4 linked regions of the Drosophila melanogaster genome follow. The protein of the gene in region 1 purifies or fractionates together with the protein of each later gene. This does not show direct contact. Each region holds a gene or a part of one and is shown in the gene's direction. Other genes may lie near its edges.

What was found.
Region 2: the proteins of U2af50 (region 1) and Upf1 purify together in Drosophila melanogaster (affinity purification with western blotting, with the first as the bait; one study listed by BioGRID). This does not show direct contact.
Region 3: the proteins of U2af50 (region 1) and fand purify together in Drosophila melanogaster (affinity purification with western blotting; one study listed by BioGRID). This does not show direct contact.
Region 4: the proteins of U2af50 (region 1) and Prp19 purify together in Drosophila melanogaster (affinity purification with western blotting; one study listed by BioGRID). This does not show direct contact.

The regions. Positions count from the first base shown.
Region 1 is NC_004354.4:16,355,529-16,361,499, reverse strand, and holds U2af50 (U2 small nuclear riboprotein auxiliary factor 50), read left to right. Parts: upstream 1-3,046; coding exon 3,047-3,092; intron 3,093-3,293; coding exon 3,294-3,857; intron 3,858-3,927; coding exon 3,928-4,016; intron 4,017-4,082; coding exon 4,083-4,205; intron 4,206-4,282; coding exon 4,283-4,744; 3' UTR 4,745-4,804; downstream 4,805-5,971. Other genes in the region: PIG-Q (phosphatidylinositol glycan anchor biosynthesis class Q), read right to left, coding at 286-386, 454-568, 622-737, 804-880, 936-1,080, 1,142-1,277, 1,342-1,450, 1,514-2,160. UniProt on the Drosophila melanogaster protein: Necessary for the splicing of pre-mRNA. Binds to the polypyrimidine tract of introns early during spliceosome assembly.
Region 2 is NC_004354.4:11,899,496-11,908,247, reverse strand, and holds Upf1 (Upf1 RNA helicase), read left to right. Parts: upstream 1-2,876; 5' UTR 2,877-3,213; intron 3,214-3,271; 5' UTR 3,272-3,336; coding exon 3,337-3,504; intron 3,505-3,566; coding exon 3,567-6,899; intron 6,900-6,968; coding exon 6,969-7,010; 3' UTR 7,011-8,252; downstream 8,253-8,752. Other genes in the region: CG43156 (uncharacterized protein), read left to right, coding at 1,584-1,796. UniProt on the Drosophila melanogaster protein: RNA-dependent helicase and ATPase required for nonsense-mediated decay (NMD) of mRNAs containing premature stop codons.
Region 3 is NT_033778.4:13,590,524-13,597,764, forward strand, and holds fand (fandango), read left to right. Parts: upstream 1-3,120; 5' UTR 3,121-3,202; coding exon 3,203-3,247; intron 3,248-3,305; coding exon 3,306-5,336; intron 5,337-5,399; coding exon 5,400-5,975; 3' UTR 5,976-6,034; downstream 6,035-7,241. Other genes in the region: CG6191 (uncharacterized protein), read right to left, coding at 77-921; CG45088 (uncharacterized protein), read right to left, coding at 1,184-1,249; S-Lap5 (Sperm-Leucylaminopeptidase 5), read left to right, coding at 6,299-7,241. UniProt on the Drosophila melanogaster protein: Subunit of the NTC(Nineteen)/Prp19 complex, which is part of the spliceosome. The complex participates in spliceosome assembly, its remodeling and is required for efficient spliceosome activation. Essential for efficient pre-mRNA splicing.
Region 4 is NT_033778.4:18,446,178-18,453,845, reverse strand, and holds Prp19 (Pre-RNA processing factor 19), read left to right. Parts: upstream 1-2,804; 5' UTR 2,805-2,937; coding exon 2,938-2,956; intron 2,957-3,020; coding exon 3,021-4,374; intron 4,375-4,425; exon of another isoform or gene 4,426-4,477; coding exon of another isoform or gene 4,478-4,919; intron 4,920-4,974; coding exon of another isoform or gene 4,975-5,745; intron 5,746-5,795; coding exon of another isoform or gene 5,796-5,905; intron 5,906-5,961; coding exon of another isoform or gene 5,962-6,038; intron 6,039-6,092; coding exon of another isoform or gene 6,093-6,132; exon of another isoform or gene 6,133-6,234; coding exon 6,235-6,379; 3' UTR 6,380-6,485; downstream 6,486-7,668. Other genes in the region: Dnaaf3 (dynein axonemal assembly factor 3), read left to right, coding at 1-1,069; rswl (roswell), read right to left, coding at 1,130-2,470; CG30120 (uncharacterized protein), read right to left, coding at 4,478-4,919, 4,975-5,745, 5,796-5,905, 5,962-6,038, 6,093-6,132; Lamtor2 (late endosomal/lysosomal adaptor, MAPK and MTOR activator 2), read right to left, coding at 6,706-6,828, 6,896-7,082, 7,141-7,208.

The DNA.
Region 1 (5,971 bases):
AACACAGATGTCGAATATAGCTTGCTTTTTAAAAGTTTAAAAAACGAGTAGACAGAAAAATTAAACATTTGGAAGGGGTTAAAAATAATTGGTATAAGTTTTATAATATTATGGACCTTGTACACTGATTGAAAATTGTTATCGATAATTAGATTCGATTTGTTTTGTATTGATAGTAATAAAAAACATCAAATGAACAAATGAAGTTTCAATAAATAAAATGTAAATGTACTTTTAAAACATGTTATGTTTACTTCTAAATATATTCTACATATATGGCAAGGATTATAAAGTTGTAATTTTATACACTGTCACGTTGATTTTCTGTTGTTTGTGCATCAGGAAAGCCCTTTCGTGATGTGAAACATCTTTGATTTGAATACAATCTGCGAGTCAATAGAAAAATCATTATATAAATATCATTTTGTGCATCCACATTCTTTACACAATTACCTATTTCATGACATCCTCTTAATAACCGTTTTATACAGACTTCAATCGGGAGATACATCAGTTTTCTTCGCAAAAAATGAAAGACACTTAGAGTAGCAAATGTGAGCGCCTTCAGCTATAAAGAAAGTTGTATTATTGCGAAATTCAACGATTATATATTAAACTTACAGCAGCAAAAACTATATAGTAGACAAGGGTAGTGGGTAACAAAAACAGAATAGCCGAGAAAAATATGGTAGCTAGATATAATTGCCGATTCATATAGTTGTGGGACTCAGTGCGACCTGAAAAGTATAAGAATTGGTAAAACTTAACATAGTGCTTAGATTGGCAAAAACCTTAAAACATACCTTTTAAAATGTTGTAACGATTGCCTCGAACCACTTGCCATAGAACAGAAAGACCTCTTCTTTCCACATTGTAGAGGCTATGAAAATAATATTATTGTTTGAAAGCGGTCAATATATATTGCAGAAACTTACACTTTGGTATAAATATAGAAGCAATGTGAATGTAAGCCAATAACGGATATTAAGTCCACTAGTAAGGCTATCTGGAATGTAAAACCCAAGCATCCAATCATTCCAATGGCCAAGAAAACTTGTCGTACTAAAGGTTCAATGAAATCTGTAGTAAGAGAACAATGTTATCAATCTTATCATGCATTTAAGTAGACCCAAAAGCTTACCCAAAAATGTTGACCACAGCTCAATATGATATTTGAAGCAGTCGAGAAAGAAATTATTTAAATGTATATTTAGCTTGAGGCCAATGGGACTGCCCTCTAATACTTTCAACAGGCCGTACAATTCGTCAATAACGTACTACAATAGATAAGCAATAAGTTAATGTCACATATGTAAAATCAAATTTGTATGGCGGACATACATGAGATATTTGTATTAGAAAATCACCAGGCTGTGTGGCAAGCGTAAATAGTATTAGCATCAATATAATCCCCAGTATTCTATCAAGAACTATATTAGCCGGTCGAGATCTGCTTGATAGAAACTAAGTAATAGTAATATGATATTTAGCATCATCGATTTAACCCAACTACCTTTTATCACATGCTGTCTGCCATTCCTTGAAATGCTTATAAATAGTTGTGTGAACCATAATGCTGTTGATAAATACATTTTCCGCCATATATTCGAATATCTTAATTGGAGAATCGGCAATGAGTGTTAAGCCATATTGGATACTCTTGTTGGCATTATTGTTTGCCTTGTTTTGGTTGTCAGCAGTTGGTTGATTCAGTCTAGAGAGCTCCAGAAAGTCGCAATCGGTGCTATCATTATCATTGTATTCCAAAGATCGCCTATTTTCAGATTCACCAGATACGAACAGATTTCGTACCATTTGCTTGTCGTAGAGAATCACTTTAATGTGCTTCAGATATTCGGGCGTAATGCCCAAATAAACCAGTGTTATATTCGCCTGACTGCTATTGTATGTGAAACACAATCGCATATTGAACTTAAGAAATTGGTTCTGGTCCGCATTGAAATCCTCGTTGAGAATAGAGCCCAGGAAACGCAGATTGCCCTTTTCATGATTTATGGCCTTGTCACTGAACTCCAAATCTGATGCTTCCAGCACGTAATACGATACGACATTATCTTCATTTATTTGCACTTGGCCGTACAAATTGGTTGACTTATTGAGGTAATAATAGTTGACCGGTAAATATATCTTAATGCTCATAATATAATCGATTAACTGACAAAAACACCGGTATTTCTTCTCTCAATCAAAACAAAACAAATACAGCATGCTTGAGAAGGTGGTATACAATTGAGTGTGACGTCACCGTTTGTTGATTAACAAACTAGGGAGTACAGAATAGTTGCAGAATCGTATATGTCAGATGTCGCTTAAGCGTGTATTTTTATGTATGTATGTATATTATTATTATTATATTATTATGTATGATTATGTATAATAATTTATATAAATATTTTGCAGTAATGGACACCCTACAAGTGAAATTTATGTCGATAAATCGTTCAACGACACTTCGAAACTGCCAGTGTCGCACTGTTAGCCCTCGGCTATCGGTGGTCCATTCCATTGTTTCTCAGTTTTCACGTGTTCTTTTTTAAGTCGTTTCTTTTATATTTGCGTTAATATACGCAATAGAGGGACACATTTTTCTTCGGCATTTTAAAGAGTTAAAATTGTTTTCGTGTTAAGAAATATTAATTTTATTTAGCAACAAGAATGGGATATGATGGTGAGTTCAATGAAGAGAGCAAGTAAAGGGCCGCACTGAATTTGATGCCCAAGTGTGCATAAATAGATGTTTATGTATATATATGTATGCATACATACATACAACTATAAATGTATGCAAAGAAAGTGAAAAATGTGCAACTGAATTTGTTTATCGCGGCAACGCAGCCTGCTCCTTGTTTCATTTTTTTTTATATGTAAAAAAGGTCTGTTGAATTAGGGTTTTGTTAATAATCGCATTCATTCTAGACCGGTTGTTTTTTTTTCTATTTCGATGTTTCGCTCATTCATACATTCATACATACGTACATACGTTGAGTTTTGAGTCTATTTTTAATAGAATACAGTGCATTTCGGGATGGAAATGAATTTTGAAGATAAATATGTGAATATCGACAATAAAGGCGAGTTCTTATGACCATAAATGCTTCTAACCATACACCATACACCGAAATGTGTCCTTGTTCATGGCTTACATATGCGCGTGTGCCCGTGTGTATGGCTAAATTTGTGTGCTCTTCCTGGGTGAGGTGGACAGGGACGGGACACATTTGCGAAAATAGCGATTGGAGAATCAACATATTTAATTCCTATCGTATTTGCAGACCGTGAACGCGATCGCGAGAGACGCCGACATCGTTCCCGCTCTCGGGACCGCCATCGCGAACGCTCCAGGGATCGACGCCATCACCGGAACTCGAGGCGCAAGCCGTCGCTTTATTGGGATGTACCGCCGCCGGGATTCGAGCACATCACCCCGATGCAATACAAAGCCATGCAGGCGTCCGGACAAATCCCGGCAAGCGTTGTGCCGGATACACCACAAACGGCAGTGCCCGTGGTCGGATCGACAATTACCCGACAGGCGCGTCGCCTGTACGTTGGCAACATTCCGTTTGGCGTCACCGAGGAGGAAATGATGGAGTTCTTCAACCAACAGATGCATTTAGTTGGGCTCGCCCAGGCGGCCGGCAGTCCCGTCTTGGCATGCCAAATTAACTTGGACAAAAACTTTGCTTTCCTCGAATTCCGATCGATTGATGAAACCACCCAGGCCATGGCATTCGATGGCATCAATTTGAAGGGGCAGAGCTTAAAGATTAGGCGTCCGCACGATTACCAGCCCATGCCGGGTATAACAGATACGCCGGCAATTAAGCCCGCTGTTGGTAAGTAAACAAATATCCTAATTTTCATTGGCACACGGTCTAATCAAATAACCACCATTCCACATTCCAGTTTCCAGTGGAGTTATTTCGACAGTGGTTCCGGACTCGCCTCACAAAATCTTCATCGGAGGTCTACCAAACTATCTGAATGACGATCAGGTTGGTTCAACATTGAAACGTTTCCATTCGAATTCTCATAAACATTTGTATCTTCTGCTGCTGTAGGTTAAGGAACTGCTTTTGTCGTTTGGCAAGCTACGAGCCTTCAACCTGGTTAAGGATGCCGCTACTGGGTTGAGTAAGGGTTATGCTTTCTGTGAATATGTCGATCTTAGCATCACAGATCAGGTACGAAACTACTTCAAAATTGCAAACAAACACAATCTTAACTCTAACTCTCTTTCGATTCCTAATAAAATTTGTAGTCGATTGCTGGCCTAAATGGAATGCAGCTGGGTGACAAAAAACTGATTGTCCAACGAGCCAGTGTGGGCGCCAAGAATGCCCAGAACGCGGCCAACACCACGCAGTCCGTAATGCTCCAAGTGCCGGGCCTGTCCAATGTGGTGACCTCTGGACCGCCGACTGAGGTTCTTTGCTTGCTCAACATGGTCACGCCCGATGAACTGCGGGACGAGGAGGAGTACGAGGACATCTTGGAGGACATCAAGGAGGAGTGCACGAAATACGGAGTCGTGCGGAGCGTGGAAATTCCACGTCCCATCGAGGGCGTCGAAGTTCCCGGTTGCGGCAAGGTCTTTGTCGAATTCAACTCGGTTCTCGACTGTCAGAAGGCGCAGCAAGCACTTACTGGACGTAAATTCAGCGACCGCGTTGTGGTCACATCATATTTCGATCCCGACAAATACCACAGACGCGAGTTTTAGATACAAGTAAATCATATATCTCACATTCACCATTTGTCCAATAAATATCAGAATAAAAGTAAAATTTTGACTACGAAAATACGAAGATACCATGAAATAGAAAGGGATAGTCGCTTATTTCATTGTGAGCCGGAAGTTGGAAACGAAAACTCCAAATGCTTCTAATGGGTTGAAACTGTACGTGAGTTTAAGGGTATATAACATAACTACTTCATTCGGTGGCTTCCTCAATTCTCAGAAATCCAACATATAGAAACAACTTTGTATATATATAGACAGCTAACGCCGGATAAACATTTATTTGGCATTAAATAATTATGAATGTATACGTATGGTGTGTGTTTACTGAATTATAAGGCAATTACAAAAACAGTTGAAAATATCTATTAGACGTACAGATACAAATCACTTAAAAACGGAACGTACAAATGAAATACATTTTGGGTACATATACACATACATATATACTAAGCATGATTTGCTAATGCGCTCAAACGCGCAAAATGTCCAAATTAGAACTATTGTGCGAATGGAAACAGCAGAATGTTTGTTAAATAATTAAATGCGAGTGCAAGACAAATGATATCGATCGTTTCAGTGGGGCATTCGTATGGAATGCAAATAGTTTCAGATTAAAATCCTAAATGATTCGCATAGGGAGCACAATTTCCACTTCTTAAATCGACTAGTGCATTTTATGAATATCTAGATATATAAATTATATAATGCATTTAGTAATAATACGTCTATTGAACTTAGGCTTTAGATATTTAGATTTCGCAGTTTAGAGAAGAAGCTAAGTTAGAACTTTGATTTTATAAAAAATAGATATCTTTGAGCTATATTATTATTTTTCAAATATTTGTTATTTTAGCAACAGGTGTACTTCAATAGTTAACGTTCAAACATTTAAAATTTCGATCATTTCGAATTTTAAGGCACGTTCATTTAAATGTAATTGAATAATTACATTTTATTTTAATATTGTTTGCAAACTTTTAGTTTTTGTAACATTAGCTACAACAATCGTGGTTAAATAACATAGACACAATTATGTGGTATATCGTAATTGTTAAACAACTGGAAGACATATGTAATCAAAGTGGTTTAAATTTCCTTTGCCCTTTTTTTTTTATAAATTGTATTATTACTTTAAGCTTTAAAAGAGAAAATAAAAAAGGTAAATGCTAAATGATTGAAATGCTGTTTGAGTATTTGTGCTAAGAG
Region 2 (8,752 bases), 4.5 Mb from region 1:
TTTGAAATTCTTTTCCCAGTGGTACCATCAACTCCATTCGATACGTGTGTTCTGCACTTCCAACTGAGATTTTGCATTTAATCAAAGATGTTCAAAGATGAGGGAAAAGAGCAGGGTAGTTAATTAACCAGATGGTTTTAATTCTAGCTAAAAGTGTTCTTTAAATGTTACGCTGCCGTTTGATGGGAAATTTGTATGAGCAGGTCACAAAATCCTGTCCAACTGATCGGATCTTACTTCTCAACTTATCGTCGAAATTAGTTGATTGCAAGTCCAATACTTTCTAGTTACAAATGTATATATGTGTATATACAATGTTATACAAACTGCCACATGCACACGATTGATTTTGAACAGATTCGAGGATACTTCAGTCCTTAAAAATATACATAAACATACACTATGGTAGTTGGGATAGATACATACACAGGTTTGAAATAAAAGTATTACTACTGAATAGTATTCTTCTCGATACACTGCATATTGGAATTGAGTACGAGTAGCCTAATGTTCGGGTATCCTAATTGAACAAACGACACACAAGTAGATTGCAAATCCATGATGGATCGGATGACTTTCCAGGGTTCACACACGATATACGATATACTTTCTCATGATAATCAATTTTCGCGTAACATTAGTACTAATCCGTCCAAGACATATACTATAAGTTTAATTGATAAATAATAATTGTCGCAAAATCAGCGAAAGCGACTTGCTACAGCCGTATAAACAAACTTACATATTTAATTCGCTTTTTGGCTGGGCAAGCCTTCCAAAATGTGTATAATCTAAAACAATTTGAATTAAATTATAAATAAATAAATGTATCCACTAACAAAGGCGGCCTTGGTTTCATTTCATTACTTCTTAAATTTGAAACCACACACGGAATGCTTGTGGGATTTCAAAAAACATTTCAATACCTCCACAATCGAGTGGAAATATATTTGCAGATCTGCCCTTGTAAAAGGAGATATATTATCAGACAAATTTGCAAAAATTGCAAAATGAAGTTTAATATGCAAACCACTAGGAAATAAAATGCTTAAAGGGTTAAATATTCAAATTCTCAAAATCAGAAAAAAAAAAACGTTTTTCCGTTACCTTAAGACATAAAATGAAGTAAATAAATAACAACATGAAGTAAAATAGCAAAATTTTTTTCCTTTGAGATTTATACAATTATTTTCCCAAGTGTATATTTTAAATGATGAATGCGCATTTTTTGATTTTTTCACTGACGCAGTTTGAGGAAAATGCCCAAACATATGCACATACATATGTACCTATATGTGAATGAATGTAAATTTATGAAGCCCTCGCTCAATTCAAGTAAAACAACATTTTTTCTGAAATCAAACCGTTTCAGAGACTCGAGCGAGTCACACGTAAATTATCCCGATCTGCTAATTAATTGTTTAGTACAGCTTTTTGAACCGAAAACTTGAACACAATCAATGTGAGTGATGACAATTCACAAATTGCATAGATATTGCATAATTGATTCCTTTATAAAACATATTTGAAATCAGTTTTTGTGTTATAGGTGGACATTGTTCAAATCTAATGGAAATTCTAAAATGAACATCAACAGCGATTCGAACCAGGAACAATACTACAGACGAAATATTTTAGGGAAAGTTAATGCTGCAGATTGCGCAAGCTATTCCCATAATTTATTTATTGATTATAAGCTACAATTATTTTTCTGGGCTGCAGTATGCTGCTGCGTTCTCACGTTTTTGATTTGTCTGGCAATATGTATTTCGATATATATATATTTTATACGCTAATCAAAGTTAAAGTTATACGAAGTTCAATCTAAGATAACCACTGTATTTTTATTTATGGGAAAGCCTTTTATTTATGCTCATTTGTTCACATTCGAATGGTTTCTTGTTTATTTCAACTTTGGCGTTGAAAGCGTTTCCGACTATATAAAGCATATATATTATTGATCAGTATCAATAGCCGAGTCGATCTAGCTATGTCCCTCTGTCTGTCTGTCCGTATGAGGAACTATAAAAGCTAGAAGGTTGAGATTCAGCATACAGATTCTAGAGACAAAGACGCAGCGCAAGTTTGGTGACCCATGTTGCCACGCCCACTCTAACGCCCACACTTCTGAACCATTTTTTGAAATTTTTCATAATTTTTTTAGTTGCCAAACTGCGAAAAGACACGCCCACTCTAACGCCCTAGGGCAGCCGAACCGGTCACGCCCACAGTTTGGAACATTTTTTTTAATTTTTCTCATTTTATTCCCCAATATCTATCGATATCCCAGAAAAATGATAAAATTTCGCGTTCGCATTCACACTTGCTGAGTAACGGGTATCTTATAGTCGGGGAACTTGACTATAGCACTCTCTCTTGTTTTTTTTTATTTCCCTTAATGATTACAAGGAACCCTTGCTTCTGAAGGCAAATCTTGATGAGTCACATTATTGACAAAGAAAATATATATTTATATCATATATATTTATTGGGAACGAAAAAAGTTTTGATTATAATGATTGCCTTCGCAACTAAAACTTTAACCTGTAGGAAATACTTGAAGGTTTTATTTTTTCTTCCATTTTATCCAACAAGTTATTTCAAGTTAAACCTTATGGTTAAATCCTGTTTGTAATAGTTTATTATAAGGTCGACTATATAAGTACTTTTAAATAAATACGCAATACGGGAGTCCTATGTTTGTTTATTCATTTCATAAATTTTGGCGATTTTGGCGTTTTCCAAAATAAACAGTAATTTATGGTATAATTACTAAAAAGACAATACTTAAACGATATATTATTCACCCCATCACCGATAGTATCTATAGTCAACTTGCCCAACACTAGCGATTGATGTTGCCATACGCGATTATCGATAGACCCCTCGTGAGTCAAATGCAAACTGACGTATATTTATTACTGGCAAAACAGGCCGGGCAAATTTGTTGAACAAGCAAGAAAGTTTTCGCTTTTTTTAATCCTACATTCCCCGCAATAGCGTGGGAATCTCGTACAGACTCAATTTAAAACACACAACAGCCACAGTTTCGAAAGAGTGCCGAACGGCGGGCTCCCGAACACGGAAAGCGCGAAACGCACACACGACACCATCGCCATACCATAATCATCGCGGCCACGCTCCAAGCTTAGGAATTTTTCAATTCCGGAAACACTGACCAAGCGATCCGTGGTCTAGGAGCAGGTACTATAGGTGAGCATCAGTCCCATCCGAGTTACGTACCTATCGGCCAATGCACATTGCTAACTAGATCTCATCGCGATCCCTGCGGAAACGCAGCATAATCACCTTGGGTGAGAAGAAACAACAGGCGCCATGAGCGTGGACACGTACGCGCCCAGCTCGGCGCTCTCGTTCCTGGACATGGACGACAACGAGCTGCTTCCGGGAGCGGATACTCAACCCACGCAGTACGATTACCGCGACTTTACCATGCCCTCCACCTCGCAGAGCCAGACCCAGAACGATCAGCTGGAGATTGCCGTGAGTTGTCCCCCAAATCATTCCGCGAAACCCAAATGGCATATACCCTTTTTAATTTACAGCAACGCTGCTCTGCCGGAGACTCGCATCCACGACTGGCCAGCATCACCAACGATCTGGCCGATCTGCAGTTCGAAGAGGAGGACGACGAGCCTGGCAGCTCGTATGTGAAGGAGCTGCCGCCGCATGCGTGCAAGTATTGCGGCATCCATGATCCAGCCACGGTGGTCATGTGCAACAACTGCCGCAAATGGTTTTGCAACGGTCGTGGAAGCACTTCCGGTTCGCACATCATCAACCATCTGGTGAGGGCCAAGCATCGCGAGGTGACGCTCCACGGGGAAGGTCCCCTGGGCGAGACAATCCTGGAGTGCTACTCCTGTGGTGTGCGCAACGTCTTTGTGCTGGGCTTCATTCCGGCCAAGGCCGATTCTGTGGTCGTGCTGCTCTGCCGTCAGCCGTGTGCCGCCCAGAATTCGCTAAAGGATATGAACTGGGACCAGGAACAGTGGAAGCCTCTAATTGCAGACCGCTGCTTTTTGGCCTGGCTGGTAAAGCAACCCAGCGAACAGGGACAGCTGCGAGCTCGCCAAATCTCAGCCGCTCAGATCAACAAGCTGGAGGAGCTATGGAAGGAGAATATTGAGGCCACGTTTCAGGATCTGGAGAAGCCAGGCATTGACTCGGAGCCAGCACATGTGCTACTCCGCTACGAGGATGGCTATCAGTACGAGAAGACCTTTGGGCCGCTGGTCCGCCTTGAGGCCGAATACGACCAAAAACTGAAGGAGTCTGCCACGCAGGAGAACATCGAAGTACGCTGGGACGTCGGCCTCAACAAAAAGACCATTGCCTACTTTACGCTGGCGAAGACCGATTCGGACATGAAGCTCATGCATGGCGACGAGCTGCGCCTGCATTATGTGGGCGAGCTGTACAATCCGTGGAGCGAGATCGGCCACGTTATCAAGGTGCCGGACAATTTCGGCGATGACGTCGGCCTGGAGCTGAAATCCTCAACGAATGCCCCGGTTAAGTGCACCAGTAACTTTACGGTGGACTTCATCTGGAAGTGCACGTCATTTGATCGCATGACACGTGCTCTGTGCAAATTCGCCATCGATCGCAATTCAGTGTCGAACTTCATCTACTCGCGCCTGTTGGGCCACGGTCGTGCGGATTCCAACGACGAGGTGCTGTTCCGCGGCCCACAACCCAAGCTCTTCAGTGCCCCGCATCTGCCGGATTTGAATCGCAGCCAGGTGTATGCCGTGAAACACGCGCTTCAGCGTCCGCTCTCGCTAATCCAAGGGCCGCCTGGCACGGGCAAAACCGTGACCTCGGCGACCATCGTTTACCAGCTGGTCAAGCTCCATGGTGGCACAGTGCTGGTGTGCGCTCCCAGCAACACGGCCGTGGATCAGCTAACTGAGAAGATCCACCGAACAAACCTTAAAGTGGTGCGTGTTTGCGCCAAGAGCCGTGAGGCCATCGATAGCCCGGTAAGCTTCCTGGCGCTGCACAACCAAATCCGTAACATGGAGACCAACTCGGAGCTAAAGAAGCTGCAGCAGCTGAAAGACGAGACCGGCGAGCTGAGCTCAGCAGACGAAAAGCGATACCGCAACCTGAAACGTGCCGCCGAGAACCAACTGCTGGAGGCTGCCGACGTTATCTGCTGCACATGCGTAGGCGCCGGCGATGGTCGTCTATCGCGAGTCAAGTTCACCTCGATCCTGATCGATGAGTCTATGCAGTCGACGGAGCCGGAGTGCATGGTGCCAGTGGTGCTGGGCGCTAAGCAGCTGATCCTCGTGGGCGATCACTGCCAGCTGGGACCGGTTGTTATGTGCAAGAAAGCAGCTCGTGCCGGCCTCTCGCAAAGTTTGTTCGAGCGCCTGGTGGTTCTGGGCATCCGTCCGTTCCGGCTGGAGGTGCAATATCGCATGCACCCCGAGCTGTCCCAGTTCCCGTCCAACTTCTTCTACGAGGGATCGCTGCAAAACGGCGTCTGCGCGGAGGATCGTCGCCTTAAGCTTGATTTCCCCTGGCCACAGCCGGAGAGACCGATGTTCTTTCTGGTAACACAGGGACAGGAGGAGATTGCCGGCTCCGGCACCTCTTTCCTCAACCGCACAGAGGCGGCCAACGTGGAAAAGATTACGACGCGATTCCTTAAGGCAGGCATCAAGCCGGAACAAATTGGAATCATCACGCCTTACGAAGGTCAGCGCGCTTACCTGGTGCAGTACATGCAATACCAGGGCAGCCTGCACTCTCGTCTATACCAGGAGATCGAGATCGCCAGTGTGGACGCGTTCCAGGGACGTGAGAAGGACATCATTATCATGTCTTGCGTGCGATCTAACGAACGTCAAGGCATCGGCTTTTTGAACGACCCACGTCGCCTTAATGTTGCCCTTACACGGGCCAAGTTCGGGATCATCATTGTGGGCAATCCCAAAGTGCTCGCCAAGCAGCAGCTGTGGAACCATCTGCTCAACTTCTACAAGGACCGTAAGGTGCTCGTCGAGGGATCTCTGAATAACCTTAAGGAGTCGCTAATCCACTTCCAGAAGCCCAAAAAGCTTGTCAACAGCATGAACATTGGGGCACACTTTATGTCCACCATTATTGCCGATGCCAAGGAAGTGATGGTGCCAGGCTCCATTTACGACCGCAGTGGCGGTTACGGCCAAGGTCGCCAAATGGTGGGACAGTCAATGAATGGCGGACAGTACGGTGGCAGTGGAGGTGGTCCCTACGGAAACTCACCCCTCGGCTACGGTACTCCCAGCTCCAATTCCATGGTGGGCTTTGGCCTGGGCAACGGAGGCAATGGCGCGGCCGGTGGCAACAACAACTTCGGAGGGGCTGGACCCAGTTGGGCGGCTGCCCACCTCCACCACGACTCCATTGGCTATATATCCAACGAGCATGGAGCAGCAGCACTGGGCAACATGCCAGTTCCGGTTGGCATGTTCATGAACATGAGCAATATTCCGCCGCGTTTCTACAACCAGCACCAGCAGGCGATCATGGCGGTCAAGCAGAATCGCGCCATTCAACAACAGACGGGTAATTTCTCTCCCGGTAACTCGGGTCCTGGAGTCACTGGAGTCGGAGTCGGACGAAGCGCCACCCCAGGCGGCAATAAGAAGACCAACAAGCTGGGAAAATCGCGCGTAACGGGCGGTGGAACTGGCGGGGCACCGCTAACACAAGGAAGCTCGGTATGCAATGCTGCTCCATACAGTCAGCACCCGATGCCTTTGTCGCTGCAGATGACCCAGCCCAGCGGATTTGCTCTGTCCCAGCAGCCGGAACTTTCACAGGACTTTGGGCAAATATCGCAGATGGACGGTTTGCTATCCCAGGATGTTGCCTTTAACGCGGTAAGTGTGGAAGTGATATTTTTGAAACCCAAAGAGTGTTAGGTAATCTGAATTATTTGTGTTTCGCAGTCGGGCGAGCGGAGCTTGAATCAGTTCTCACAGCCTTATTGAGAATCCGGTTGGAGGTGCAACAACTACAAACGATAACAAGCAACACAAACGAAACAACAACAAACTCAACTTTGAAGTCATCATCAAGGAGTAGCATCAGTAGGCAGCAGGAAAAAGCAGAGAGGACCATCACGGGAACAACGACAGATGCGGGAAACAATGCGACCTAAGAACATTAGGACAAAGCGGGACATTAAAAGATGGCAAATCGAGACGAGGCAGCGTGATAGATGGAGACGGATATGGCAAGATGTGGAGTTACAAAGTAATAAAGAAGACTGAGACGGGAGAGAGATGTCGAAAGATCGAAATATCGAGAGCAAATCACTGTAGGCTGCCAGGATGCACAGCTGCAGTTGCTGTTTCCGTAGCGCCGCGGGCCATGGAGTCATAGCCAGGCGACATGCCATTGGCCACCGGCCATTGGCCATTGGTCACGAGTGCGCTCCCGAGACGGAGTTCGCCCACGGATGAGCCAATCTGCCAGCAAGGCGCCACACAAGATGGACAACTTCTCGACACGTTTCTTTTCTCTTTTGCCAGCCCAGGATTCGCAGCCGGAGCCTAACAAAGACGCAATCACTCCCGCCCAGGACATGTATTCACCAAGTGGCTTATCTTCTAACCTTCTTCTGGCCTCTAGTGCAGCAGCCAATCTTTAGCTCCTGTTTTAACATTTTCCCACCCAAAGCGGTTTATACCGATCCCCATATATGTATGCCCACTGTTGTACATTTTTGGACTCTTTTTTGATGCATTTGTTATCCTAACAAACACGAAAACAAAATCAAACAAAAACAAGGAAAATCACGCAAACAAAGAATCAAGACGAAACAAAATCAAATTTAAAAAACATGGATACACCATTTATAATCGCTCGGGAACGCTGGCGGATCCCCCCAAGCGGATGCAGGCTTCCAGCGCAGTTCGGATATCGAATGGTTGATAGGAAAACGCATTGCGATTTACCGATCTACATAGGTACACTACAAAAAAAAAAACACCACAAAAAAACAGGCGAACATTAACAAACTGAACCAACGGAGTAAATGATCAGGATCAGAAAAGGTTAGTTATTAATAATATTAATGCAGTTACAGATGCCTGATCATTGTTTTTAAAACGACATGAAAATCGTATATATTTTCTATATATTGTCAGTTAATTCTTCCTCCATGCGACTCTTTGTATCAAGAAAATGGAACATTTTGTTTGAAATTCAAAATAAAGAATTCCCTTGCGAAAAAAAAAAAACCAATATTCGCGCCAAGAATTTTCTCTTTGGGGCACGTGAAAATTGAATTTATATTCGAGTTTCCAGACACTTGGCTGTTTTGTTGCTTTTTAATTTACAGAACTTGCAATTTTACATTTTCGGATGACATGTTGTTTTTCAAATAGATACATACACACCACTGGAGGAACGAACATCGCACACCTCCGTGGCTGTTTACAATAATTAATGGAATGCGAGCAAACAATTCGAGTGTTTAAAGGTATAAATAGGAGAATATAATAACATTTAACAAGATAATGTATGTAATGTAAAAGTGTATTGAAATTCGATTCCAGTCGGGCTGCTTTCACGTTCTTTTCCGTACGGATGATTCGGTTCGGATTCTTTTGAATTTCAATTTACAAGCTTTCCTGTTTCGATTTAACATTGCTGCACATATTACCTATCCATTTAGTTTCTTCATTCTTGTTTCCAAGTACCATAAAGTTGTTGTACTTTCTTTTTA
Region 3 (7,241 bases), on another chromosome or scaffold:
AATGCTGATTAGAAACCATAATAAGCTAAGATAGTTCACTGATATGACAAACATGAATTGTGCATTGATTACTCACCGTTCCCTCAGCGGCAATAGCTTGCTGCCCGCTCCGCCGGCCACGCCACCGCCGCTGCCCAGATTGGACACCTTGAGCGGTATCTTGACGCTGTCCGAATCGCTGCCACTCTCGGCACCCGATCCTCCGCTGCCGGCGGCGCAACTTCGTGCCTGCCGCTGTTGCTGCTGCAACTTGTGCTGCTGCTGCTGCTGCTGTTGGAGCTTATTGCCCATATTGCCATTGCCCGGTGCCTGGTGGTTATGACGACCCGACGAGGTCGGGCGCTTTATGTTGCGTCTCTCGGCCGGCACAATGCTGCTGCGATTGTGATCGGCGGCCGGCAGGACGTTCATCAGGTATTGACCCATATTTTCAGTTTCACTAAAATGCCCGTCCCCATCGCTGGCACCGGTGGTGCAGTCCTCCAGTCCCAATCCCAGCCCGATGCCGCCATCGATGCCCATGTGGACATCGGCGCTGCAGAGGAGCGGCGAACAGAGGGCGCCATTCTGGTGTTGCTGCTGCTGCTGATGCTGCTGCTGATGTTGCTGCTGCTGCTGCTGCTGTTGGGTGTGTTGCTGTTGTTGCTGTTGCTGCTGCTGCTGCGTGTGATGCCGCTTCTGGTGGTTGTGGTGCGTCGCCGAGTGGCTGCGCTGATGGTGGTGCTGCTGATAGTGCGGATGAAAGCCCCCCGAGCCGAGTCCCAGCGAGGATGGGTTCTTATTCTGGTTGCAGAGCAGGCTGCTGCCGAATGTTGCGCCGAATTTGGTGTCCCGATGGGTGCCATCTAACGAGATATTCGATAGGAACGAGATCGCAGCCAGTCTGCGCCTGTGTCTCGTCTTGTTGAGCGAACTTGCCATTAGGCGATGAACCCTTAATTACCAAGCGAGATTAACCGAAGTGGGTGCTGTGGGTCGTTTCCCTGGATGCTCCGATGTTGCTATATATGTACCTATATGTATATATAGTGTGTTTGTGTGTGTGTGCATATACTGTGTGGGAATGTGATGTTGCACTTTTCTGGAACACTCTTCGCGATTCTTTACGAAAAAACTGGTTTCGAAAGTGATTATGCTGCTGTTGTGTATTTTCACTGCTGGTTGCTCACTTTTCTTGATCGAATCAATTAAGTTTTTTAGTCTCTAACTTGGCAGCCGAATTAAAAAACAAACTACTTGAACGCGACATGGTGACGAATTTTTAGCACTTTAGATGACGGAAGATGGTTGGAATACGAATAATTTTATGCACTTTTATTATTAACTAGCGTTTATGCGTCGATGCGTTGCTTTGGCTGCAAGTAGAAATAAGAACAGAAGAGAGGAATGGAATCAATAAATGAGACTATAAAAAGCGGCAGGAAAGCTGCTTTTGGCCAAGAGAAGCTTTCTCCGAGCGTTTCTGGAATATTCGTTGAAGTGCAGTGGGTGGCTTAGGGGAAATTGTGGTCAGCACATTCTCATTCTCAGTGGGCAAAATATTGAATATGATATAATATTGTTAGCAGAAGTCATCTCAATATGATATTTTATAATTAGCAATGTTTTTAAGCTATTTTTAAGTGAATATGCTATGGTTTTTTCAACTCTTTTAGATTATTTACAATTTTTAGACATAATAATCATTTTAAAAAATCTCATTTGAAAACAACGGGCATTTTTAATTTTAAGAATTAAAAGTTTTCCTTGAAATAAACCCGAATCTTTGCTGGGATTTTAGCCAACTGAATTGATAAAGCTTTTCCGCTGGCAGTTAAAAAAGCTGCATGCGGCTCAAAGCTGCAGTGGTTTTAGCCGCCTTTGTTGTTGCTGTTGTTGCTGGCGGGCGGCTTAGTGTGTCAGTTTAGTGGGTGGCAACAGTGCGAAGAGAGGGGGTGGCAAAGAGAGAGATATTGGGCCACAGCCGGCAAGGAAAATCTAAGCGCTTTTCCGCACTTTCGTGTGTGTTTTCTGTTTACATTCAATACGGGAGGCCCTAAAATGCCCAAAATTTTCCCTCGGGCAACAAGAGCGAGTGGAAAATTTTTGAGAACCATCATAAACAGCTGTTCGGGAAGCGGGGAAATAGATTTTCCGGTGGTGGTTTTTTTTTACCTAGGATCCAGTCTAATTGGATTTACCTGGACCAATTGGAGTGCGGCGGCACACACAAGTTTGAGCCTGTGCGAAAAATATAAAATCAATGCAGGAACAAGTGTGTGCGAAAATATTTATGACACCCACCCACTCACACGCTCGCACACACACACTTGCAAGCACACGCACACGTGTGACGTGTTTTTTCGTGTTTTCCCCTCGTCTTTTACTTACCACTGTGCTTGGTTTTTCCACGGTCGTTGGGTATTACTTAAAACTTAATTCGATTGATAGTCGTTCTATGCTGAGAAATGTTTCAAGCGCGTCATTTTGATCTATTTTTATAGTGTTTTTTTCGATAGACTTTGATTTTTTGCCTTTGGCTGCCAACTCGCCTGCGCTCCTCACTCTCTTTGGCTCTCTTTTGCACGGCTGTGTGTGTGTGTGTGTGTGTTGGTGCACTCACGCAGTTGCCTTCGTTGCGTAAATTATGCAAAATGCAGGCCAATTGCAATGTGTTTACAAAAACAGAACAAACGATCGCGTTAAGTGTGTTTTTTGCGATTTTACGAGCGCGTTAACTGGTCTCTGCGAAATACGCAAACGGTATGAACGTCAAAATATTGGCAGCAGCGACGAAAACATCTGCAGATGGGCTTACGAAAAATTCACAAACTGAGGCCAGTGTTGGGCAGCGGACGAAGGGCGAAATACCAATTCAAAGGGAGGCAAAATATACCGCAATGGTACTCTAGAAAATTCACGATTGTTTTGGTTTGTCCATAACTTCAACGTTTAAATAAGGTGCACTTAGAAAATTCTAGATGTTCACAATTTGTAAAAAAAATGTACACAAGCCAAAGTTATCTTAGTTTTATGAACAATTTTTCTGTATTCTTAAAATATTGTTTACATGTTAATTAGGATTTAATTACTTTGGTATTAGCTGCGGTATCTTAATACCACTACTTTTCAAACCTTCTGGCAACGCCATTTCGATCAGCTGTTTTCGTGGGACGCGCATGAGAAAATTATTGTTTGCGGCATTTCATGAAAATCGCGAAAAATGGTGACAAAAACGATAAAATCTCTGAATTTAGAGATCAATTTCGTAAGTACCATGAAATATATGTAAATCACAACTAACCTATCAAGTTTTTCACACACAGGAAGTGGAGGATGTGCCGTATGAGGAGGAAATCCTTCGAAACGCCTACTCCGTAAAACATTGGCTGCGCTACATTGATCACAAAGCGAAGGCGCCGAATAATGGTGTTAACATGGTCTATGAGCGTGCTCTGAAAGAGCTTCCTGGCAGCTATAAGATCTGGCACAATTACCTGAGAACTCGCAGGAAGCAGGTGCGCGGCAAGATACCCACGGATCCCATGTACGAGGAGGTCAACAGTGCCTTCGAACGTGCACTGGTGTTTATGCACAAAATGCCACGTATCTGGATGGACTACGGTGCCTTCATGACCTCGCAATGCAAGATTACCCGCACCCGGCACGTTTTCGATCGGGCTCTAAGGGCTCTGCCCATCACGCAGCACGGCAGGATTTGGCCACTGTATTTGCAGTTTGTACGCCGCTTTGAAATGCCGGAAACAGCACTGCGAGTCTACCGTCGATATCTGAAACTCTTTCCCGAGGACACAGAGGAATATGTGGACTACCTACAGGAAGCAGATCGGCTGGACGAAGCTGCCCAGCAGCTGGCGCACATCGTCGACAACGAGCACTTCGTTTCCAAACACGGCAAGTCCAATCATCAGCTGTGGAACGAATTGTGCGACCTCATCTCGAAGAATCCACACAAGGTGCACTCCTTGAACGTGGACGCCATCATTCGCGGTGGGCTGCGTCGCTACACCGATCAGCTGGGCCACCTGTGGAACTCTCTGGCGGATTACTATGTGCGTTCCGGCTTATTTGATCGGGCAAGAGATATATACGAGGAAGCCATTCAAACTGTGACCACCGTAAGAGACTTCACCCAAGTCTTTGATGAATACGCACAGTTCGAGGAACTCTCGCTGAACAGACGTATGGAGCAGGTAGCTGCCAATGAGGCGGCCACCGAGGAGGACGACATTGACGTTGAACTGCGGCTCTCACGCTTCGAATACCTCATGGAGCGCCGTTTGCTGCTGTTGAATAGTGTGCTTCTGCGCCAGAATCCGCACAACGTGCACGAGTGGCACAAGCGGGTGACACTGTACGAGGACAAGCCCGCCGAGATCATCAGTACGTACACCGAGGCCGTGCAAACAGTGCAGCCGAAGCAGGCGGTCGGCAAACTACACACTCTCTGGGTGGAGTTCGCCAAGTTCTACGAGGCCAACGGACAGGTGGAGGATGCTCGTGTGGTCTTCGAACGCGGCACTGAGGTTGAGTATGTTAAAGTAGAGGATCTGGCGGCGGTGTGGTGCGAATGGGCAGAGATGGAGTTACGGCAACAGCAGTTCGAGGCGGCACTCAAGCTGATGCAAAGGGCGACGGCCATGCCAAAGCGAAAGATTGCCTATTATGATGATACGGAAACGGTGCAGGCGCGCCTTCATCGCTCGCTAAAAGTGTGGTCCATGTACGCGGATTTGGAGGAGTCATTCGGCACATTCAAGACGTGCAAAGCCGTCTACGAGCGGATTATTGATCTGAAAATCTGTACGCCACAGATCATTATCAATTACGGAATGTTCCTCGAGGAGCACAACTACTTTGAGGAAGCCTACCGAGCCTATGAGAAGGGCATCTCTCTGTTCAAGTGGCCCAATGTCTACGACATTTGGAACTCTTATCTAACCAAATTTTTGGAGCGCTATGGCGGCACAAAACTGGAGCGAGCCAGAGATCTCTTCGAACAGTGCCTGGATCAGTGTCCTCCCGAGCATGCTAAGTACTTTTATTTACTGTATGCTAAGTTGGAAGAGGAGCACGGTCTCGCCCGGCATGCCATGTCGGTCTATGATCGTGCCACGTCTGCTGTCAAAGAAGATGAGATGTTCGACATGTACAACATATTTATAAAGAAGGCAGCCGAGATCTATGGCCTGCCACGTACCCGCGAGATCTATGAGAAGGCCATCGAATCGCTGCCCGAGCAGAATATGCGCCACATGTGCGTTAAGTTTGCTGAGTTGGAAACGAAGTTGGGCGAAGTGGATCGAGCTAGAGCCATCTATGCTCATTGCTCACAGGTATGATAATATATATAGATTTCTAATGCATCACTTAATCTAATTATTGTTTGCATTCTTCAGGTTTGTGATCCCCGCATCACTGCAGACTTTTGGCAAACTTGGAAGGAGTTCGAAGTGCGTCACGGCAACGAAGACACAATGCGCGAAATGCTGCGCATCAAGCGCTCTGTGCAGGCCACTTACAATACGCAGGTGAACATGATGGCCGCCCAATTCCTGAGCACAAACAACGGAGCGGCTGCGGATGCTGGAGCAGGAGCTGGACCGGATGCCATGCGATTGCTGGAGGAGAAAGCTCGCCAGGCGGCAGCCGAGTCCAAACAGAAGCCCATCGAGAAGGCGGCCTCGAATATTATGTTTGTGCGCGGTGAGACTCAGGGTGGTGCTAAGGATAAAAAGGATACGGTCGTCAATCCTGATGAGATCGACATTGGAGACAGCGACGAGGACGATGAGGAGGAGGACGACGATGAGGAGAACGAGATGACGAACGAGAATCAGGCCAGTGCAGCGGTCACGAAAACCGACGAGGAAGGCCTGGTCATGAAGAAACTGCGCTTCGAACAAAAGGCCATTCCAGCCAAGGTCTTCGGCAGCCTCAAGCCCTCAAATCAAGGCGACTCTGATGGAGAGTAAATGTTTATACATATATATGACTTTTTTCGGGGTAAATACATGTATGTCGAAAGTTTTACAATTGTAATTGATCGGTTTTTATGTTCTGGCCTCAATTAGATTCTTAAATGGTACTTTGATATTAATTGTTGTCAAACGAAGGGGGCCTGTTAGATATTGTCTCCGTTTTGGATGATCTAGTTAGTATAGCCTTAGGCCAAACAGAGGAACACACTTTCAACTGTCATTCCAAAATTGTTAGGCACTTCGTGATCTAAAAAAGCTAACCAGACGTGCGCAAGGGCGGACTAACCAGGACTAACCACACACCGTGTATCTCGAAGATGGCATCCACACGCATGATCAGTGCTTTTACGCGCAATCCAAGATTATATCAACAGGTCACGGCACCCTGGAAATCGTACAATCTGTTTGGAACACCACTTTTTAACCACAGACTTCAGCCAGCGGATTCTCAAATCTGGAGGGGATTAGCAGACAAGTGTGACAACAAGACTGTTATCAAGGGCGTGGTGGTGGGCGTCTACTCCAAGGAGGGCGACGGTAAGGAGGTCAAGATGACGTCCAGCGGCGAGAAGTTCGACGACCGAACTCAGGGCAAGGTCTCGGAGCTGTTGCGCGAAACTGGAATCAAGGGGGAACTGGGCAAGGGTAAGGTCTTCATGAACGTGGATGCCGAATTCCGGGCAGTGGCTGTGGTGGGTTTGGGCCAAGAAGGTGCCGGCTTCAATGACCTGGAGAATATCGACGAGGGTATGGAGAATGCCCGCGTTGCCGCTGGCGTCGGAGCTCGGGCATTGCAACTGCAGGGTTGCACGGAAGTCTTTGTGGACTCCATGGAATATCCGGAGCAGGCGGCGGAGGGCAGTGCTCTGGCCATCTGGCGTTACAATAGCAACAAGCGCAAGCAGGATCGCACTCAGGTACCCAAACTGGATCTGTACGACTCACCGGATGTGGATGCCTGGACGAGGGGTCTCTTCAAGGCGGAATCTCAGAACTTGGCTCGAAGATTGAGCGATTCGCCGGCTAATCAGATGACCCCCACCATATTCGCCCAATCGGCGGTGGATGCCCTGTGTCCGTGCGGCGTTTCCGTGGAGGTGCGATCCATGGATTGGATAGAAATGAATCATCTCAATTCGTTTCTAATGATAGCCAAAGGCAGCTGCGAGCCACCGGTGGTCCTGGAGGTCAGCTACTGCGGCACAGCACCCGAGGATCGGCCCATTCTGCTGTTGGGCAAGGGTTTGACCTACAACAGTG
Region 4 (7,668 bases), on another chromosome or scaffold:
GGTGACCGCCTACTGGGAGCAAAGGTCGAGGGCCCTGCTCGGCACCAGGTATGACCATCGCAACGGGGCCTTTGATTGGGACCTGAGCATGACCCTAAAGGAACGTGGAGGGCAGCAGATCTGTTCGCAGGAGTACCGCTATTGGCGCGAGACCGGCGTGGCTTTCGTTTTTCCGGAATATGAGCATTGCAAGCCGAACAAGACACTGGCCGTTGGATTGGTGCGCAATGGACGCAACTTCATCCACCGTGGCTATGTGGGTGATATCCAGACTGGACCGTTTTGTGGCTTCGGGCTGCGCACCGTGGAGGAGCGAATGCATCATTCTGTGCACGGTGATAATGATTATCGTGCTACCGATATAACAGAACGCAATCTCATGGAATTCTTCCATGAATTGCTGACCCAGACAGCCTACGAGCATGATACCACTCGTTCCCGACGGTATGGCTCTGTTCAGCTGCTGATGACGCCCTTGTTGAACCACCAGGAAGAGGACGCTGCTGGGCAAGCGGCTTACGATAAGCCATGGATCCACGTGCCCGGAGTAACAGTGCACTTTGTGTCGCCCATGGAGATGGAGCAGCTGAAAAAGGGTGCAGCTCATTGGAACAATATGTTTGATATCGTCTTTATGGCCTATAACTATTACTCTTTCTTGAGCAAGGACTTCTTCCAGGCGATGCGTGCGCAATCACTTTTTATTCTGGAAACCAAGCTGATGACGGTGGAGCGCAAAGATCGTGTGCAGGAGTACGAATCCAAAGCTAAAGAACTGATGAAGGATGCTGGCCTTAAGGCGGCCATCAACTACCAGGCCATCAACGGCAAGAACATGTGGCTAAAATACAAAAAGACCGATAAAGATGAACAAGAAGATGAAGCCGTGACAGAAGCCATGCCAGAAAGTACTTTCAAATATGACACAGACACAGATTATGGTGAACCTGCTGAAGAGTATACTGGTCTAGTAATTGAAGAGATTCCCTCATCGAATCAGACTGTGGCAGCCATTAAGAAGGAAGTGGAGGCAGAAGGTCCCCTACAACCAAAAACTAACTTCCCATGAATAAGAAATCCGAATCCGAATAAAATGAAATATGCATCTTAATGAATACAACGAGTAACTTTAATTTTGTCTCTGCTTTTTCTTTTGCTTCCCCGTTGCCCAAGTGTCCAGTTGGAACTCCAAGCCCTCCCGTCGCTGCCTTACATTCTGCGGAGTTGCATAGGAGGTAGCCTGCCGGCGATTCTCGTCAAAATCAAACAGATGATCGATTCGCATATTAAGCTTCCTGGCCCGCGTGCCTGTGCTCCAATGATCTTTCTCCCTGCGCGGCTGGAATTCGTTTTGCACGACCTTCCGACGGGGCACATGCTTCAAGGCCGTATCCCAGTCGCCGGTTTTCTTGAGGTCCAGCATAATGTTGATCATCTGGTTTAGAGTTAGCGACTTTCCCGAACCGGAACCCCACTGTAGGTAGCGATCCAGGGGCAGTCTCGCCATCCGAAGGCCCAATCGTTTGGCTTTGGCCAGCGAAAGGGGTTCGTTGTTCATAGTGTCTACCATGGCGCCCACGATGTAGATGTCATCTGGGTTGTAAGTGACCAGATCCTCCCGGCAGTGGGGCGTTAGGTAGACCAGGTTCTGCTTGGGAAAGAGTTCCGTAAAGCACTTGCTATGCAAATTTATCGGGAACTCTGGATTGTGCATGGTGGGGATGTAGCGTTGGAGGCTCTGCATGCATCTGCTGTCCATCTGGGTGTTGCAATAGTGCAGATCGAAGGGCTCATCATTCATCCGGTTCTCCGCAAAGCACATCATCAATTGCTTTGCTGCATAGGTAGCCTCCCGATTGTTCATGTGCTCATCGTAGGAGCAATCCAAAACCATTTTGGGGGCAAACTGCATGGCCCGTGTGAGTCGGTTGTTCTGCCAGTGATTAATAGTGGTATCATAGATACGCAGAAACAACGATGTGTGTCCCAGGCCATAGATAATGTGCGTATTCTCCTCGCGCTCCTTTCGCATCTCCGCAACCCGCCGCTCGGCTTCCTTCGCTCGCTCTGCCTTCTTGCGTTGATCCGCCTCCTTCTTCATCTCGATTTGCCAGAGATAGCCAAAGTACTTGATCCTAGCTGATTTTGTGGGTAGCGTCAGCACGTGCTCCCAATGATGATCCTTAAAGAATTCCAGTGACGGCACCCGCCGACCCTCCTGGTGGGCAATGTCCGCCTCCAGCTGCAGCACCTTGAGTCGCTTATCCCGTTCCTCCTTGTTCTCTGATATCGTATCATTACTTAACGCAGGAGCGGGCTGGGAAAACGGATTGACGAACTTTTTTTGGGGTTCCTCTGTGCCGGCTATCAGGTTCTCTGCGCTGGAGGTTTTGGAGGCTTGCCTCACTGGTGCGGCACATCCCTTTAGCAACTGGCTGCCCAGACGCCATCGTGCAAAATGCTTCAGCATTTTAAAAATATACCTTAATGGCAGTAAACTATGTTATAAAACTAGATCGTGAATTGAATAACAGAAACAACGTGCTAGGGTTGCCAGCAATTATGGATTGTGCGTGCGGAACTGTGATTGGCAAAACGGTGAGATAGCTGATTGATTTAAGATATGTTACTCACTTCTCTATCAGTAAATGTCATTTATCTATAAAAACTATTGTTATGGATTAAATACTTATTGAATGTGTTGTGTTATCAATAAAATAAATTGTTTAAATTCTAGCTAGTTTTTTCTGTGCAAATTTCTAGCCAAAATCCATTTGATCTGGCAGCCCTGTGCTCGAAACTCCCGCGTCGCCGAGTAACTGGCATAATAAGAAGAAGCGGCTTTGCCGACAATTTTGCGCTTGGCTCGGGAAAAACGTGTAAAACATTTAATTTACCAACAAGACTACGCGAAAAGCGACATAATCACAAACAGCAATGGCTTTGGTTTGCGCACGTAAGTGAATAATTTAGATTTTGATTTGAATTGGGCCATTATGAATCGCACTTTCCATTCCAAGTGACAAACGAAGTCCCCGAGACGCCCGTGGTTTCCCCGCACTCGGGAGCCGTTTTCGAAAAGCGGGTGATTGAGAAGTATCTGTTAGAGAATGGCTGCGATCCCATTAGCGGCAAGGAGCTGAAGCCGGAGGAGCTGATCGAGATCAAGACGCCGGCTGTGGTGAAACCGAAACCGCCAAGTGCCACCAGCATTCCGGCCACTTTGAAAACGATGCAGGACGAGTGGGACGCCCTCATGATTCACTCGTTCACACAACGCCAGCAGCTGCAAACGACGCGCCAGGAGTTGTCCCATGCGCTGTATCAGCACGATGCCGCCTGTCGTGTGATTGCCCGCCTCAATAAGGAGGTGGCCGCCGCTCGCGAAGCTCTGGCCACGTTGAAACCGCAGGCGGGCATTGCCAACGCACCCACGGCAATACCACAACCGGCCCTGGCCTCTGAGGCTGGCGGAGCTGCTGCCCATCCCATGGAGCAGGCGGGCATGAGCGCCGAGGTCATACAGAAACTGCAGGACAAGGCCACGGTGCTGACGCAGGAGCGTAAGAAGCGCGGACGCACTGTGCCCGAGGATCTGGTTACAACGGATCAGGTTAAGAACTTCCTTACTGTGGCATCCCATCCCGGCCTACACTCGGCCTCCGTTCCCGGCATTCTGGCCTTGGACATCAACAGTGCTGATCACAGTAAGATTCTGACCGGAGGCAACGATAAAAACGCCACCGTGTTCAACAAGGACACAGAGCAGATGGTGGCCATCCTGAAGGGACACACCAAGAAGATCACCAAAGTCATATATCATCCTAACGAGGATACAGTCATAACCGGCTCGCCCGACATGAACATACGCATCTGGCACGTGCCCACTTCGCAGACGCAGCTTCTCCTGCGCTGCCACGAAGGACCTGTTACTGGCCTTTCGCTGCACCCCACTGGCGACTACTTGCTGTCCACATCATCCGACAAACACTGGGCATTCTCCGATATCCGCACAGGACGCCTGCTCACCAAGGTAATCGATACCGCCGAAGTCGGGCTGACGACAGCGCAATTCCATCCTGATGGTCTGATCTTCGGTACGGGCACCGTGGACTCGCAGGTTAAGATCTGGGATTTGAAGGAGCAGAGCAATGTGGCCAACTTCCCTGGTCATACCGGTCCCATTTCGGCCATCTCCTTCTCGGAGAACGGTTACTACCTGGCCACCGCTGCAGATGATGCCTGCGTTAAGCTGTGGGATCTGCGAAAGCTGAAGAACTTTAAGACAATCCAGCTTGATGACGGCTACGAGGTCAAGGATCTGTGCTTCGACCAAAGCGGAACCTATCTGGCTATCGCCGGCAGCGATGTCAGGTAAGTGAATTGTACTTTTCTTATTGAAATCATTCAGAATGAGGTTAAAATAAGTTTTAAATTGTATTCATTTAATGTTTTAAGTATGGTGTTGTTGTCTAGCTTAGACTTTATTTTTCCATCGTTGCTCAACCTGCTGATCATGATGCTTCTTGAAATGCGCCATCCAGTTGTGTAGCCGGTTCTGCTTGACTAACGCACGGCGAGACATTTCCTTCTCCGCTGCCATGCGACGTCGAACCTGCTGCTCGACACTTCGCAGCTTGCTCGGTTCGATGTGGTCCAGTTTAGCCAAGAGCTCCAAAACGTAGCCCTGGATTTTCTCCACCTTGGCAAGAGTCGTGTCCTGTTCGTCCGCGTATGTAGACTTGGGTGGCGGTGGTGGAGGCTGCATGTCTTCCAGTGTTCGCCATTGCTTGGACGACTTCTGGGCTGCTGGCTTGGATGGCGGCTGCGTAACCTCTCGCTTTTGCTCCGGCTTAACTTTGTTTTGGATTTGCTTGAGAATAATTGGTACAATAGCATTTAGCTTGATATTCAGCTTGCTGGAAATTAAGAATATAAAATAGTTGATTCAAATATGTACGCATCCCAACTCACTCCTTGCAGTATCTCTGCTCGAAGTCATTTAATAGACCCTTGGCACGCTCCTGAAGACCTGCCACCCGTCGCTGCAGGAACTCGGGATCCTTGAGGAACACATTGGCTTTCACCTGACGCTCGTACGTCTTCTGGGCCTTGTCATGGAGGATGGCTACGATGTGGTTCAAGATTGCCAACTGAGAAAAGCGCCTGTTGTAGTTGGACACCTTTAAGCGATTTCTCTCATAGCCACGTATCCAAATCTCTGCATTGAGATGATTCCGCTTTGCCAAATACGGACGCACTATCTTCTCCATGTAGTCTTGGACTTGACGCACTTGCTCGAGACCCGCTGGATGTCGTTCGGTGATCTCCATGGCTACGATTTCCTGCGGCATGCTAAGCCTATTGCTGGCATCGTCTCCCTCGGTTTGCTCCTCCTCAACTGTGTCATCAAAGTAGCTGATCAGTTTGAGTAAATACTGAAAGCGACCGTAGACCTCCTGCACTTCCATCAGCACTCGCTGATGCTCCAGCTTCACCTCGTTCAGCTCTTCGCTCAGTTTGCTTTCCTTCAGTGTCTTCAGCTTTTCTTGGGCCTCTAACATTTTCTTAAACTCCTCCGCTTCCATTTTCTTGAGCGACTCCTCTGCAAACTTGTGAAACTCCTCGGCCTTTTCGTATACATTGTCTTGGTATTCCTTCTCGCGTTTTCGGTCCAAAAAAAGTTCTTGCGTAGCATAGTACATAAAGCGATTGCGGGTAATCTCCCTCAAGAGTAGGATGTCCCTGAAAAAGCTGTGAAATTGCACCAGCACATAATTCATTTGATTCCTTACGTTTTCATGCGAAATTTTCTGGCCAAACGTTGCGCACTGGCGTCCTTAATATAATCGGGATCGATGGTGGTGACCACACAAGGAGCACGGGGATTGGCGATCTCTCCGCGCTGAGGAATATTAATAAAACTTAACTTTGGAAATATAAAAATTAATTATTTCGCACCGCATTGAAGTCCTCAATCGATAAGTTTATGGGCTTTGGAGGCTCCGGTTCCACATGGGTCTTGGGTCGCACGAAATCTTGAAGAGCAGCATGCATTTTTAAGTCTTCGCATATTAGAATATAATACTTACTTTCATATTCGCGGTAAACTTTTCTTTTAAACTTTCGCATTGTTAAGTTAAATTCGCCAAAGAAGATTCCCTTAGTTAACTTGTTTATTTGGTTGCCACGGTACAAATACAAATTCTGACGGTTGCTTCGTTTTATTTACAGGGTTTACCTGTGCAAGCAGTGGCAGGAACTGAAGGTATTCAACGACCACACGGCCCTGGCAACGGGCGTGAGATTCGGCAAGCACGCCCAGTATCTGGCATCCACCAGCATGGACCGCACCCTGAAGCTCTACGCCATCGAATAAGTCCACACTTAGTAATTAAGTCCAAAATTTTCTTATACAATATTCCCTAATGATTGTGTGTTTTCTTGAACAAATCTTGCAGAATAATAAACCTGACCCTCTATCCAAATAATTCAGAATACGAAATATCTTTGGGTTACTTTTGGAAACCAGCAGACAAGTTTTTCCTTAAATACTAACAAAATCCTTAAAGATTCATAATTTCAAGTACTAATATATTATCGTTTAAACTTTTCCGCAGACTATTCATATTCATTTGATTCACTTTTGATGCATACACTTATTAACTTATTCATTTCGGAACTTGGTACATCATTGTTTTATCCTTATGAGGCCGAGATCTGCTTAAGCGGTCGCTCCAAATAGGAGGCCAGTGACATGGCCTTTTGCTTCAGAAGACCCAATCCCACCGTTTGCTTGGCGTACAGGCACAAAAGGACACTGGCAACCTGTAAAAAGGAATATAGTTAAGATTTTATAGAACGAATCCCTGCTAAAAAAAAGAGGATCACCCACCTGTGTGATGGCCACATGACCGTTTTCACAATCGATGAGCACGAAAGTGAGGCGACCTTCGCGAAAGGCGTTGCGTCCATGCTTCTCGTAGGCCGCCCATATGTTGCTGGCTATGGCCGCCGTTATCCTGGCATCCTTATCGCCATAACCGGAGTAGGCCAATAGAGCTCCCTCCTGGCTGAGCAGGCTGTGGATGCAGGGATAAGTGATATTTGAAGGAATGGCATGGTAAGGGACTATCCTACAGGGTGTTCTCCACTCCGCCGGTGTTCGCCTGGCTGAGAACCTGCGTCAAAGCTTTGGGTTTCAACATTTTGTGTATTTTTAAAGAGGGAAAATATAAAAAACAACAGAACTACGCCTTCACAAACACTGCATTCTGAATGGCAACAAATTCAGCTGATAAGGTGTGCGCGTTGCGCTGTGAGTGACAATGGCAAATGTAGCGCCATCTATATGACGATTTAAAGTATATAAACAAATGAATTTTTCAAATTAAGATGATTCGTTTTTGTAATCAATATTTATTATTATATGTTTTCGGTTGGGAAATAGGAAACATTCATTTTTTTTCTTTGGTTTCGTAACTTGATAATAATATAGAAACAAAGAGATACGTTTTTTAAGAGAATATACCATTTACAAATTAGATATTAACGTAATGAAAACGCAATATTTGAATTTATAGAGGATTTTATAACTTTTCAAATTTTCCAAACAATAACTGCATAGTTAACTTGAACACACCAAATAAACTCAAGCTTTTAATTTAT